3 linked regions of the Mus musculus genome follow. Each later gene encodes a partner of the first gene's protein in a complex. Links are inferred from orthologs where the notes say so. Each region holds a gene or a part of one and is shown in the gene's direction. Other genes may lie near its edges.

Region 1 (3,508 bases):
GACTGAAGCACTACATAGGGGAAGTGACGTTACCCTGAGGTAACGTCATAGTATAGGAAGGAGCGAGTCTGAGTCAGTTGGTATTTTGGTTGCTAGGTGGATGGGTCCACTCAGGTTCTATAATGTCCTGGTTCATTTCATTGGTGTGAGCCTTTTTCTCCTACCTTGATAATTCTTTCTACGTCTCCATCAGATATGTAAACGCTTTCAAATTCATGAGCCTGGAAAGAATCAAAACCTTTGAGGAGCTTTCACCGAACTCCACCTCCATGTTTGAGGTAAGTCATGATCATAAGGACACAGTGCTCTCTGTCAGAAGTCTCCCCCTGTCGAAGCAGCCACCCCAGGCAGTGCTTGGCCAGGGAGGACCAGCGATCAGTAGAGGCCAAGGTTCCAAGATGGGGAAGAATAGACAGCCAGACTTCATCATGAGGAGCTGATGTGAAAGAGAATGCCACAGTTTGAAGGAGTCCTGTCCCACCAGCTCTCCAGAAGGGGAAGGAGTAGTCCCTGTGTATGTTTCCGGGGCTCTCTTGTAGGCTGGCTATCCAGGACACACCTTTCTTTCTTTAAGAATGTAAGATGTGGGGCTGGTGAGATGGCTCAGTGGGTAAGAGCACCCGACTGCTCTTCCAAAGGTCCAGAGTTCAAATCCCAGCAACCACATGGTGGCTCACAACCATCCGTAACGAGATCTGACTTCCTCTTCTGGAATATCTGAAGACAGCTACAATGTACTTACATATAATAAATAAATAAATCTTTAAAAAAAAAAGAATGTAAGATGTGCAAGCGGCTGGGCCTTGTGATACCACAGAGACCCCGTGCAGAGGTCTGAAAGAAGTCCATGGAGGCCCTAGGCCCCTTTAGCGGAAGGTTCTGCAGCTGAGCAGCCATGTTCCCACCCAGACACACTGGTCAGAGCACACCAGAGTAAACTGGCCAACCAGAAGCTTCTGTCAGCAAGGCTATGGAGAGGCCCTTGGACAGGGTGGAGTGGGCTCCCGAGACAAACACAGTGCCGTAATTCAAGAGGAAAAACCTCAATGCTGGGGCCTGGAGAGACACTGTAGTAGTTAAGAGCACTGGCTGCTCTTTCAGAGGATCCCAGTTCAGGTCCCAGAACCCACATGGGGGCTCACAGCCACCTGTAAGTCTAGTTCCAGGAGACAGGAAGCCCTAGTCTTAAGTGCCAGACATACATGCAAGTGCACACACATAAAAGATAAATATGACCTGAACCTCATAGACACACACGATAAAGGGTCACAGTGACTTCAAAATATAAAGGCATCTCCATTGTAAGTGGTAGGATGCAGTCCATGATAATGTAGTTAGAAATTTTGTGCTGTGGCTCAGTAGGGTGGTTCAAGTTCCAGGAATAACACTGAGTGAACCTCAGAATTTCTCTGGGTTAGGCTACCCCTAAAGTGGGGCAGACGATGACAGCACCTTGGCCGCCCTGGGTCCTCACCGGTGTTCAAATGGCCCAGGAAGAGCCTCAGAGGGAGGGAGGAACCAAGTGTGGAGTCCCCTCCACGTCAGCAGTAACAGTACTGAAGGACAGGTGGAAAATTCCATGATGGGGATGACTGGACCACAGCTCCTAGAAACTATGGCAAATAGGGCATATGCATATGCAAGCATGCATATGCAAACATGCATATGCAAATGTGCATCTAAAATATGTACACATGGCAGATGCCAGAGACTCTCCAAGAGAAAATTATTCAACCACATCTATAATTTCCTTGAAATCTTACGTGCAATAGTATACTCATAGCCAGACACCAAGCTTTGTTTTAACATATATGATAATTTGCATATATGATAATTTAACATATGATAATTTGCATGAAAATTTCACACGGAAAATACCAAGCAGTTACATGCAATTTTCCATTGCATGTATGTGTGTGTATGTCTACGTGCATGCTGTGTGCACCTCTGTGCATATGTGCCTGCCCCCCAATATATGTGTGGAATCCATTGGCCAAGGTTGGGTGTCTTTCTCAATTGTTCATCTTACTGGGGTTGTGGTTGATTAATTGGTTTGTTTTTAAAGACAGGATCTTTCAAGGAACCTGGAGCTCACAGTTGAGCTAGAGTAGCTGGCCAGCAAGCTCCAGGCCGTGCCTGTCTCCATCCCCACCTCCTGCCCCCAGGGCTGGGATGACAGACCTGAGTCACAATGCCTGCCTTTTATGAGAACTCTGAGGTTCTCATGTGTGCCCCGTAAGCACTTAATCCACTGAGCCATCTCCTCAGACCCTGCAATTCCTTCTTATTTTCTTCACCTTCTGGAAGGAGGGTGGTAAAGTTGCCCACGACAGGCACTGTTTTGTCTCTGACGAGCTCACCGATGTCAGTACAAGGAACAGGCACGGTGCTGACAGGCGGGGGGCTGTGTTTGCTGAGGGCAGCACTGGGCCACACCTCAGTGGTGCCTCCCAGTGTCTTCCCAGAGTCACTGTGGAGCCTGCTTGGCCAAGCAAATGAATCATCTTTCTCTCCTCATCCCACAGGACTATCAGCTGGACACTAGCACTCTGCTGGGCTCCCCCTTGCTGAAGCGGTTCACCTGGACTGAGACCAAGCCCAAGGCCTCCATGAAGATAGAGTAAGGAAGCCAGATAGGGGTGGGGGAGGAGGATGCCAGGGACGGTGGGATGCTTGGTGGGTGGGTGTTTAAGGCTACCTGGCCTCCTAGTGTTCAGGCATGGCAGAAAAGCAACCACCCCACACCCAGGGATGAGAAGAGGGGTCACAATATTAGGCATATGAACCCCAGGCTCTGTGACAAGGAAGACTGGGGCTTCGTGTAACAGGCAGGCTGAGCCTGAGAAATATGGGGCCTTGATGGAAAGGAGCCAGGTGTGTCCAGCTGTGAAGGACGATTTGGGACGTGTCCACAGACTCACGAGACAACACGTCCCGTTTCTGGTCCCTGGGCTAGCAAGGGAACACAGTCCTGTCTGTAACCCTGAGAATTCAAACTTCTACAATCAGGATTGTCTGCATCCTGCTGCATCCATTACCCACGTCTCACTTGTAGATGTTTCCACAATCCCCTGCGGCTTGATCCGTCAGGCAGTTCTTCCTTCCGTTCTGCATCATTTCGGAATCGCTGGGCTCCGGCTGTACAGTGGACTGGTAGAGATGACCTCAGTGGTTCTCTAAGCCGAAGGCCACCCAAGCCTGGCCACTTACCTTCCTACCTACCTTTCCTGGCTCAAATGCCTGGCTCTCGGGTCTAGCAATGAAGAGCACTGACTGCTCTTGCAGGGGACGCCTTCTTCTGCTGTCTGGAAGCACTAGGCACACATGGGGGACACACAGATACAGGCTAACAAAACACCCATACACGCAACAACAAACCAGATGGCCAGCCCACGTGCTGCAGTTGATTGAGCTGTGACTGGACTCAAACTTTCCAGCAGGCCACTGGAAAGACGGGCACTCCCGGGCAAACATTTACCTTTTCCCTGTGATGCAGTCTCAGAAGTAG
Region 2 (4,062 bases), on another chromosome or scaffold:
GAATGGGAGGACAGAGTACACCCCTGAATTCTGTTTAGAAGATGAACCGTAAGCCTAGGCTAGAACTGAGGGAGCCTCTACTCCCACCCTTCCGAGGGTTGGCGGCAGCGCTGGGCAGCTGGCCTACCTACCTTTCTGAATGCTAGGGTAGGTTTGAATCACCATGCCGGCCTGGCCCGCTTCTGCCCCCATTGGCACCCTGGCTTCAGTTCCCTGGCAACATCTCTGTGTGTGTGTGTGTGTGTGTGTGAGAGAGAGAGATCAGGAGGAACAAGGGCCTCTGTCTGCCCAGCTGTCTCTCCTTCAGGGCTCTGCCAGACTACACAGTGCATACGTGGGTTTCCACAGGTCGTCTCACTCCCCGCCACTGACTAACTCCAGAACTCCACTTCCCGTTCTCAGTGCCACAAATTTGGTGCCAAATTCTCTCCAGAGAAGCCTCTCTGGAAACTTCCCAGAGGATCCCATTCACCCCAGGGCCCTAGCTCCTGATGACTGCAGATCAGACAAGGGCTCAGATAAGCATACTCCCCCCCCCCCGTAACCCCCTCCCCACATATAAACCTAGAGTTATGCTTCCGAGGTCAAACACGCAACTTTTTGGGTGTGTGTGTATGTCAGAAACACGCAATTATTTGGGAGCTCAAAGTCTGCCGCACTCAAGAATCAACTCTCACCCCCTTTCCAAGACCCGTGCCATTTGAGCAAGAGTTGGGGTGTGCATAATGTAGTCACTAGGGGGCGCTCGGCCATCACGGGGAGATCGTGAACTTGGGCGAGCCGAGTCTGCGTGAGGGAGGACGCGTGTGTCAATGTGAGTGCGTGCATGCATGTGTGTGTGTGTGTAGTGTGTTTGTGAGGTGGGGGAGAAAGCCAGGGGTCACTCTAGTTGTCCCTATCCTCATACGTCCCTGCCAGCTCTCCGCCTTCCAACCCCTACTTTCTCCTATATTCCTGGGAAAGGGAATTGTTCTTAGACCCTGTCCGCATATAACCTCACTCTCCTGTCTCCCCTGATTCCCAATACTCTGGGATTCCCAGTGTGTTCCTGAGCCCAGTTTGAAGGGGTGCACAGATAATTTTGAGGCCGTGGACCCTGGTAAGGGGTTTAGCTTTCCATTTCGCGGTAGTGGCCTAGGGGCTCCCCGAAAGGCGGTGCCTGGCTCCACCAGACCGCTCCCCGGGGCGGGTCTGGGCGGGGCTTGGGGGTGGAGCTAGATTTCCTCTTTTTCTTCCACCGCTGTTACCGGTGAGAAGCGCAGAGGCTTGGGGCAGCCGAGCTGCAGCGAGGCCGCGGCACTGGGGGCGAGCTGAGCGGCGGCAGCGGAGCTCTGTCGCGAGACGCAGCGACAAGGCAGACTATTCAGCGGACTCACCAGCCCGGGAGTCTGTGCTCTGGGATTTGATATTCAAACCTCTTAATTTTTTTTTCTTAAACTGTATTGTTTTACGCTTTAATTTATTTTTGCTTCCTATTCCCCTCTTAAATCGTGCCAACGGTTTGAGGAGGTTGGTTCTTCACTCCCTCAAATCACTTCGGATTGTGGAAATCAGCAGACGAAAGAGGTATCAAGAGCTCCAGAGAGAAGTCAAGGAAGAGAGAGAGAGACCGGTCAGAGAGAGCGCGCTGGCGAGCGAACAGAGAGAGGGACAGGGGCAAAGTGACTGACCTGCTTTTGGGGGTGACCGCCAGAGCGCGGCGTGAGCCCTCCCCCTTGGGATCTTGCATCGGACCAGTCGCGCTGACGGACAGACAGACAGACACCGCCCCCAGCCCCAGCGCCCACCTCCTCGCCGGCGGGCTGCCGACGGTGGACGCGGCGGCGAGCCGCGAGGAACCGAAGCCCGCGCCCGGAGGCGGGGTGGAGGGGGTCGGGGCTCGCGGGATTGCACGGAAACTTTTCGTCCAACTTCTGGGCTCTTCTCGCTCCGTAGTAGCCGTGGTCTGCGCCGCAGGAGACAAACCGATCGGAGCTGGGAGAAGTGCTAGCTCGGGCCTGGAGAAGCCGGGGCCCGAGAAGAGAGGGGAGGAAGAGAAGGAAGAGGAGAGGGGGCCGCAGTGGGCGCTCGGCTCTCAGGAGCCGAGCTCATGGACGGGTGAGGCGGCCGTGTGCGCAGACAGTGCTCCAGCCGCGCGCGCGCCCCAGGCCCCGGCCCGGGCCTCGGTTCCAGAAGGGAGAGGAGCCCGCCAAGGCGCGCAAGAGAGCGGGCTGCCTCGCAGTCCGAGCCGGAGAGGGAGCGCGAGCCGCGCCGGCCCCGGACGGGCCTCCGAAACCATGAACTTTCTGCTCTCTTGGGTGCACTGGACCCTGGCTTTACTGCTGTACCTCCACCATGCCAAGGTAAGCGGTCGTGCCCGTCTGCTGTCGCCGGGCCGTGGCGAGCGCCTCTCCCGCTTGGGGACGTGCGTGCGTGCGAGCGCGCGCGTGGGGGGCTTCGTGCCCCACGCGGGTCCTTGGGCACCGGGCGCGAGGCGTCCCCCTCTGTCGTCGTACGTGGAGGGGGAGGGGGTGCGCGCTAGGTGGGAGGGCGCCAGGATCGTCTCGCCGCCCACGCGGGCCCTGCCCACCCACCAGAGTCACCGCACGTACGATCTGGGCCGAGCAGCGGAGGGCGGGAGCCAGAGGAGGAGGCTGAGGGGGCTGGGCTTGTGCCGAGGCTGGCGGCAGAAGTTTGCTCCGGGTCGCGGGTCCCCGGAGAACTGGAAGTCCGGGCAAAGGGGGCGGGAGTCCGGAGCCCAGCGGGCATGCCTGGGGGTGCTCGGACCTTGGACCCGGGGAGGGCAGAGATCGTGGAGGGGGCAGGGCGCGGGCGACCGAGGGGGCTTTGCTGTCACTGCCGTTTGGGTCTCTGAGGCCCTTGCAGTGAGTTTGGGGAAAGTTTTAGGATGGATTGCTGCGGGGACCCTCTCCCACCGCTCTAGCTTGTTGGGCCACCTGCACCGCGCCACCCCCTCCCGTCCCCGCTCGCGTCCCGCGCGGTGCCCGCCCTCCCCCGCCTGGCCGGGCGCGCGCGGCGCAGAGCCGATTACATCAGCCCGGGCCTGGCCGGCCTCGTGTTCCCGGAGCCGCGGCTGCCGGAGCCCGGAGACCCGGGCGACGAGCGGCGCCCCTCCCCCCACCGGCCCTCCGCGAGGAAGGTGACCTCTGGAGGTATCCCCAGCTCCGGGACCCGGAGAAACTCCCATACCTCTTTCCTCCGTTCCCAACTTCTACCCGTGCCTCGCGCTAGGAAGAATTTCCCGACGCCCCTTCCCCCTTTTCCCCATTTCCTGCCTGGTGTAAAAAGAGAAGCCCTTCCCACCCTTTTATATTTTCCTTTTCTTTGCGAAGACTCATCGGACCTTTCCTGGACCCAGGGTCCAGGAAAAGGACGGTGACTGTCAGGCGTGGGGGTGCTGAGGCCCACCCTCGGGTTCTTTGTGGAAACGCTGACCTAAGTTTTGAGTTGGTGAAGGTGTGCTCCCTCCTCCCCTCACAGCTGTGCTTCAGGTTTTTTTTTTTTTTTGCGGGGGGGGGGGTGGATCAACGAAGGGTGGACTGACATCACCCCATTTCCCACCCCCACCCCCCCTTTGGAAACATGACTTGATATTTGCTCTGACAGGGGCAGCCTGGAACCAGCCCTTTCCCATACCTTTGGCAGGATCCCTTGTCAGTCAGTATCTCTCACACACTTTGTCCTGGCAAAGCCCGATGCCCAGAGAGCAGGTGGTTTAACTGCGAACTTGCCCACCCAACTTGCCTACCAAAGGGTCCTTTCATGCTTATTTCCACGAAGCTTCAGTTGTAGAGCCTTCTTGGAAAGGAGGCAGAAGGAAGGAGAAGGGCAGGTGTCCCTGCCACCATCCAGAGTTCCCCAGACCCTGGCACAAAGGCCTTGGTTCTGGGCCTCCATGTGGGGAGGAGGATAGGAGTGCTTGGCCACAGTGTGACCTTCAGAGGCCCCCAGAGAAGGACACCTGGCCAGTCCCTGCCTTAGAACCTCCCCATCTGGGAAGGGGTTCAAAGTTTCTGTTCCCTTTCTCCACGGGGGGCTAGACAGAAGAATAAGGAGAATGTC
Region 3 (4,279 bases), on another chromosome or scaffold:
CACTGCGTAAATGAGGGCGGTTTTTCCTTTTTGTTTTGTTTTGATTTGTTTTGTTTTGTTTCTCTGAGACAGGGTTTCTTTGTGTAGAACTGGCTGACCTGGAACTCCCTGTGTAGACCAGGCTGGCCTCGAAGTCAGTGCACCATCACCACCAAGCAATTTTTTTTTTTTTTTTTTTTGCAAATTTTTTAAGTTCAGGGTCATCTTTGGTTACATATGGAGTTTGAGGCTAGCCTAGGCTACATTAAACTGTGTCTCAATATAGAAAGAAAGAGGGCCAGGCAGTGGTGGTGCACGCCTTTAATCCCAGCACTTGGGGGGCAAAGGCAGGTGGATTTCTGAGTTCGAGGCCAGCCTGGTCTACAAAGTGAGTTCCAGGACAGCCAAGGCTATACAGAGAAAACCTGTCTCAAAAAACCATAAAAAAAAATAAAAGAAAAGAAAGAAAGAGCGAGGAAGGACAAGTGCCGTATAACAGTGACAGTCCATGGTAGCTGCCAGGACCTCACCATACACTCGAATGCATGCTGTCATACCAGTTTTCTGTGGCATAGAAACCCAAAGGATGGAGCCCATTGTCCGTAGTATCTAGCAATGGAGATTACCTAAATATGCCCCCTTTCTAGTCTTCTGGGAGAGGCAACCTGATTTCAGAGCTGTTTCACCAACCTTCTTCACAGGACAGCCAGTGACTTAGGGTGCCACCTAGTTCTGGGACTTGGGCCACTTGGTGTCTGTTATAGAGAGAGATGTAAAGTTGTGTGAGAGATGCTAGAACCTGGTCAAGGACCAGGGTTTGAGGGACACCAGAGTTCGGAGACTCGGAGTTAACTGCAATTCCTTCACAGGAAGCTGGAGCAGGTGCATCGCAGCTTCATGGATGAAAAGGACCGGATCATTACAGCCATCTACAATGACACTCGGGCCAGGGCCAGGTCTGTCACTGCTCTGACTTTGCTTCCTGCTTCAGCACCACCCTCCAGGATGTCTGTCCTGATCCTGTTTTTCTTTCCAGGGCCAACAGAGCCAGGATTCAGCAGGAGCGCCAGCAGAGGCAGCAGCCTCGGGCAGAACCCTCCCTGCCTCCAGAAAGCTCCAGGATCATGCCCCAGGACACAAGCCCCTGAGAGGCTTAACTAAATGGGACCTTCATTGGTCCTCTCCCTGCTGCCTGTCCAGAACTACACGTGCAATAAACTCATTTTCAGACGCCTGTCCGATTCGGTCCTTCAGGTCACGCATCTCCTCACCCCTCCCCTCGTGAGGCAGCGACCCCCGGAGCTCGGCCTCCAGGGCGGTGTGTCCCCTTTCCCCTGCAGCGGCGGGAGGGGGCGTTTGGAGGGGACCGGCTCCGCCCCCGCCCCGCCTCCGCCCGCGGCCCGGTGGGGAGCGCGTGTTTAGGTCACATGAGCCTCTTGCCCGCCAGCCCCGGCCAGGCCCCCTGCCACCCCCCGCCGTCCCCGTTGCCCGCCGTCCCGGCCACCACCGCCGCCACTACAGGCCGCCTGCCTGTCTTGTTCCTCAGGCCGTCGCTGCGGCGCTGCGTTGCGCTGCCTGCGCCCAGGGCTCGGGAGGGGGCCGCGGAGGAGCCGCCCCCTGCGCCCCGCCCCGGGTCCCCGGGCCCGCGCCATGGGGCTCTGGCTGCCGCCGCCCCCCACGCCGCCGGGCTAGGGCCATGCGGGCGCTCCCGGCGCTCGCCCCCCGCGGGCACCATGAGCCCCCTGCTCCGTCGCCTGCTGCTTGTTGCACTGCTGCAGCTGGCTCGCACCCAGGTACGTGCGTCCGCGACATCCCGCTCGCTAGCTCGCCCGCCCGCCCGCGGTGCCCTCTCAAGGTTGGCGGAAGTGGGGAGGCGCCTGCTACCTCTGTCGAGGGGATCCTCAGTTCAAACCGGGAATATCCCTTAAGAGGTGCCCCTTGGCGAAGGCCCGCTAGTCCTAGCCCATGCCCCTGGGGCCACTCCCCCACCTCACCCCATCCCCTGGGCGGTTGTAGGGCGGAGCTGCCTCCGTGCCCTCCGAACCTCGTTTGTCTCCCACTATCCTGGCTCCTGACCTAAAACAAGCCCAGCGCTAAGGCTTGGGCTTTAGTACCATTCCCAGAGTATGCCTGGTGGGTCTTGGGCCAGGGAAAGTACCAGATGTCTGAGTATACAAGAAAAATTAGAACCAAGGTCTTGGGAACAGAATAAATCTGGAAAGGTGTCAGAAAGGCGCAGAAGCCTGACTCAAGGACGGAGCCCTTACATAGCCACAGGGCCAGCCCTTTTAGAGTGCATCTTGGGCCCAGGTATCTTCTTTCCCACAGGCCCCTGTGTCCCAGTTTGATGGCCCCAGCCACCAGAAGAAAGGTAATAATAGTTAACAATAACTTGCCACCAGCCAGTACTAAGAGGGGTTAGCACTTGCTCTGATTTCATATCCCTTATCTTGCGTGATCCCAACTCCTTTGGGCGATACCATTCCATAGAGGAAGAAACTGAGGCAGAGGGCTTAATCATTTCTTGAGAAACAAGGCAGAGAAAGACAGGTTTAAAAGATGGTTGGGGTGGTGGTGATAGGGTATCAGAGAGGCTACATGCTCAGAGGAGCTTCAGGAGACCTGATAAGAACTTAATCCATCTGGGTCTGCCCACAGTGGTGCCATGGATAGACGTTTATGCACGTGCCACATGCCAGCCCAGGGAGGTGGTGGTGCCTCTGAGCATGGAACTCATGGGCAATGTGGTCAAACAACTAGTGCCCAGCTGTGTGACTGTGCAGCGCTGTGGTGGCTGCTGCCCTGACGATGGCCTGGAATGTGTGCCCACTGGGCAACACCAAGTCCGAATGCAGGTACCAGGGCCTATGGGTCAGGTGTGTTGATGGGACAGTGATGTCCTATGGGCTGGGCCAACCCAGGGAGGGGCGTGCTGGAGGTGGGAATTTCTGGTCATTCTTTCTCTAGCCTATCTAGTATCCCCTTCCTCTGTCTTTTTCTGGCCCTGCCCCCCACCACTCACTGTCTCTTCCTCGTTCTCCTGAGCACAGATCCTCATGATCCAGTACCCGAGCAGTCAGCTGGGGGAGATGTCCCTGGAAGAACACAGCCAATGTGAATGCAGGTGCCAGCCAGGTCCAGGTCACAAAGTGTAGCATGGGGTGGGGGTACCAGGCATGGGCTTGTACCTTACTTAGTAGGGACCAGGTGACTGAGAGTAGAGCCAGAAGTAGTAGGCATGGATCCTGGGGCAAGAGTGCAGGAGGCTTGGGTTTCTTTAATCTTTCTCTCTCTCTCTTTTCAGACCAAAAAAAAAGGAGAGTGCTGTGAAGCCAGACAGGTGAGTTTTTGGGATTCTTGGTGCTGGTCCAGGAGAGAGAGCTCATGGGTTAGGGGGTGCACAAGTGAGCCAGGAGGCTGCAGCCCCTCTGCCTTCTTCTCTCACCCGACTCTCTTCCCTTTTATACTCCCCAAATCCACACACTCTGCTCTAACCCTAGCTCCTGGGAAGACTCTTCCCACCCCAGACGTGTCGCTTCTCCTCCTAGGGTTGCCATACCCCACCACCGTCCCCAGCCCCGCTCTGTTCCGGGCTGGGACTCTACCCCGGGAGCATCCTCCCCAGCTGACATCATCCATCCCACTCCAGCCCCAGGATCCTCTGCCCGCCTTGCACCCAGCGCCGTCAACGCCCTGACCCCCGGACCTGCCGCTGCCGCTGCAGACGCCGCCGCTTCCTCCATTGCCAAGGGCGGGGCTTAGAGCTCAACCCAGACACCTGTAGGTAAGGAGTCTGTGGGGTGGTGCTTGTGTGAGAAGGCCGCAAGGTTATGTCCTGGAGCAGGTCCAGATGAGCCTGCTAGTGGTGAAAAGACCAGGGATGGAGAAGCCAGCTGAATGTGTTAAGTCATTTACTGTGCATCTGCTGGTAACCAGATCATCAAAACCTCAGCTGAAGACTAGATGTGCAAGTCAGAGGGTGAGAGAGCTGATGCCACTCTTAGGAAAGGATGCTGAACCTGTGATAGGGGCACCAATCTAGCTAAGCAATCAACCATCTCCCGGAGTGGAACTAAAGAAGGCTTTTTCCAATCTGCAGAGCTTTATGTGATTGATATTTCTCCATTCTGCAGGCTCTGAGAGAGCAAAGATAATATGAGAGCCCCCATCTGCCTCTGCCTGGAGTGCTTACTTAAGTAACCCTTCTGTGCTCTATAGTGAGGCCAGGGGATGACTTATGGGCCAGGCCCTGGAGGCTTCTAGAGAGTATCAGAATAAAATGGGGTTCAAATGCTCAAGA

What was found. Proteins that work in one complex are often made in the same cells at the same time.
Region 2: the proteins of Flt1 (region 1) and Vegfa are in contact, whole or in part, in a crystal structure (PDB 5T89), measured with the Homo sapiens proteins. The link is inferred for Mus musculus from reciprocal best matches to the Homo sapiens genes FLT1 and VEGFA. Residues at the interface, in NP_002010.2 of Homo sapiens: Ile142, Pro143, Ile145, His147, Leu221, His223, Gln225, Asn227, Asn259, Thr260, Arg261, Val262, Gln263, Met264, Ser277, Val278, Arg279, Arg280, Phe292, Tyr293, Ser315, Pro317; in NP_003367.4 of Homo sapiens: Phe242, Pro246, Asp247, Ile249, Glu250, Tyr251, Ile252, Lys254, Met287, Ile289, Lys290, Pro291, His292, Gln295, Ile297.
Region 3: the proteins of Flt1 (region 1) and Vegfb are in contact, whole or in part, in a crystal structure (PDB 2XAC), measured with the Homo sapiens proteins. The link is inferred for Mus musculus from reciprocal best matches to the Homo sapiens genes FLT1 and VEGFB. Residues at the interface, in NP_002010.2 of Homo sapiens: Tyr139, Glu141, Pro143, Phe172, Pro173, Tyr199, Ile202, Gly203, Leu204, Asn219, Leu221, Arg224, Thr226; in NP_003368.1 of Homo sapiens: Ser37, Trp38, Ile39, Tyr42, Thr43, Thr46, Cys47, Gln48, Pro83, Asp84, Asp85, Gly86, Leu87, Cys124, Arg125, Pro126.

The regions. Positions count from the first base shown.
Region 1 is NC_000071.6:147,565,512-147,569,019, reverse strand, and holds part of Flt1 (vascular endothelial growth factor receptor 1 isoform 1 precursor), read left to right. Parts: intron 1-193; coding exon 194-278; intron 279-2,525; coding exon 2,526-2,620; intron 2,621-3,508. UniProt on the Homo sapiens protein: Tyrosine-protein kinase that acts as a cell-surface receptor for VEGFA, VEGFB and PGF, and plays an essential role in the development of embryonic vasculature, the regulation of angiogenesis, cell survival, cell migration, macrophage function, chemotaxis, and cancer cell invasion.
Region 2 is NC_000083.6:46,029,571-46,033,632, reverse strand, and holds the start of Vegfa (vascular endothelial growth factor A), read left to right. Parts: upstream 1-1,255; 5' UTR 1,256-1,742; coding exon 1,743-2,342; intron 2,343-4,062.
Region 3 is NC_000085.6:6,984,845-6,989,123, reverse strand, and holds the start of Vegfb (vascular endothelial growth factor B isoform Vegf-b167 precursor), read left to right. Parts: upstream 1-1,472; 5' UTR 1,473-1,712; coding exon 1,713-1,772; intron 1,773-2,307; coding exon 2,308-2,350; intron 2,351-2,637; coding exon 2,638-2,834; intron 2,835-3,029; coding exon 3,030-3,103; intron 3,104-3,283; coding exon 3,284-3,319; intron 3,320-3,527; coding exon of another isoform or gene 3,528-3,628; coding exon 3,629-3,763; intron 3,764-4,279. Other genes in the region: Dnajc4 (dnaJ homolog subfamily C member 4 isoform a precursor), read left to right, coding at 849-935, 1,016-1,127. UniProt on the Homo sapiens protein: Growth factor for endothelial cells. VEGF-B167 binds heparin and neuropilin-1 whereas the binding to neuropilin-1 of VEGF-B186 is regulated by proteolysis.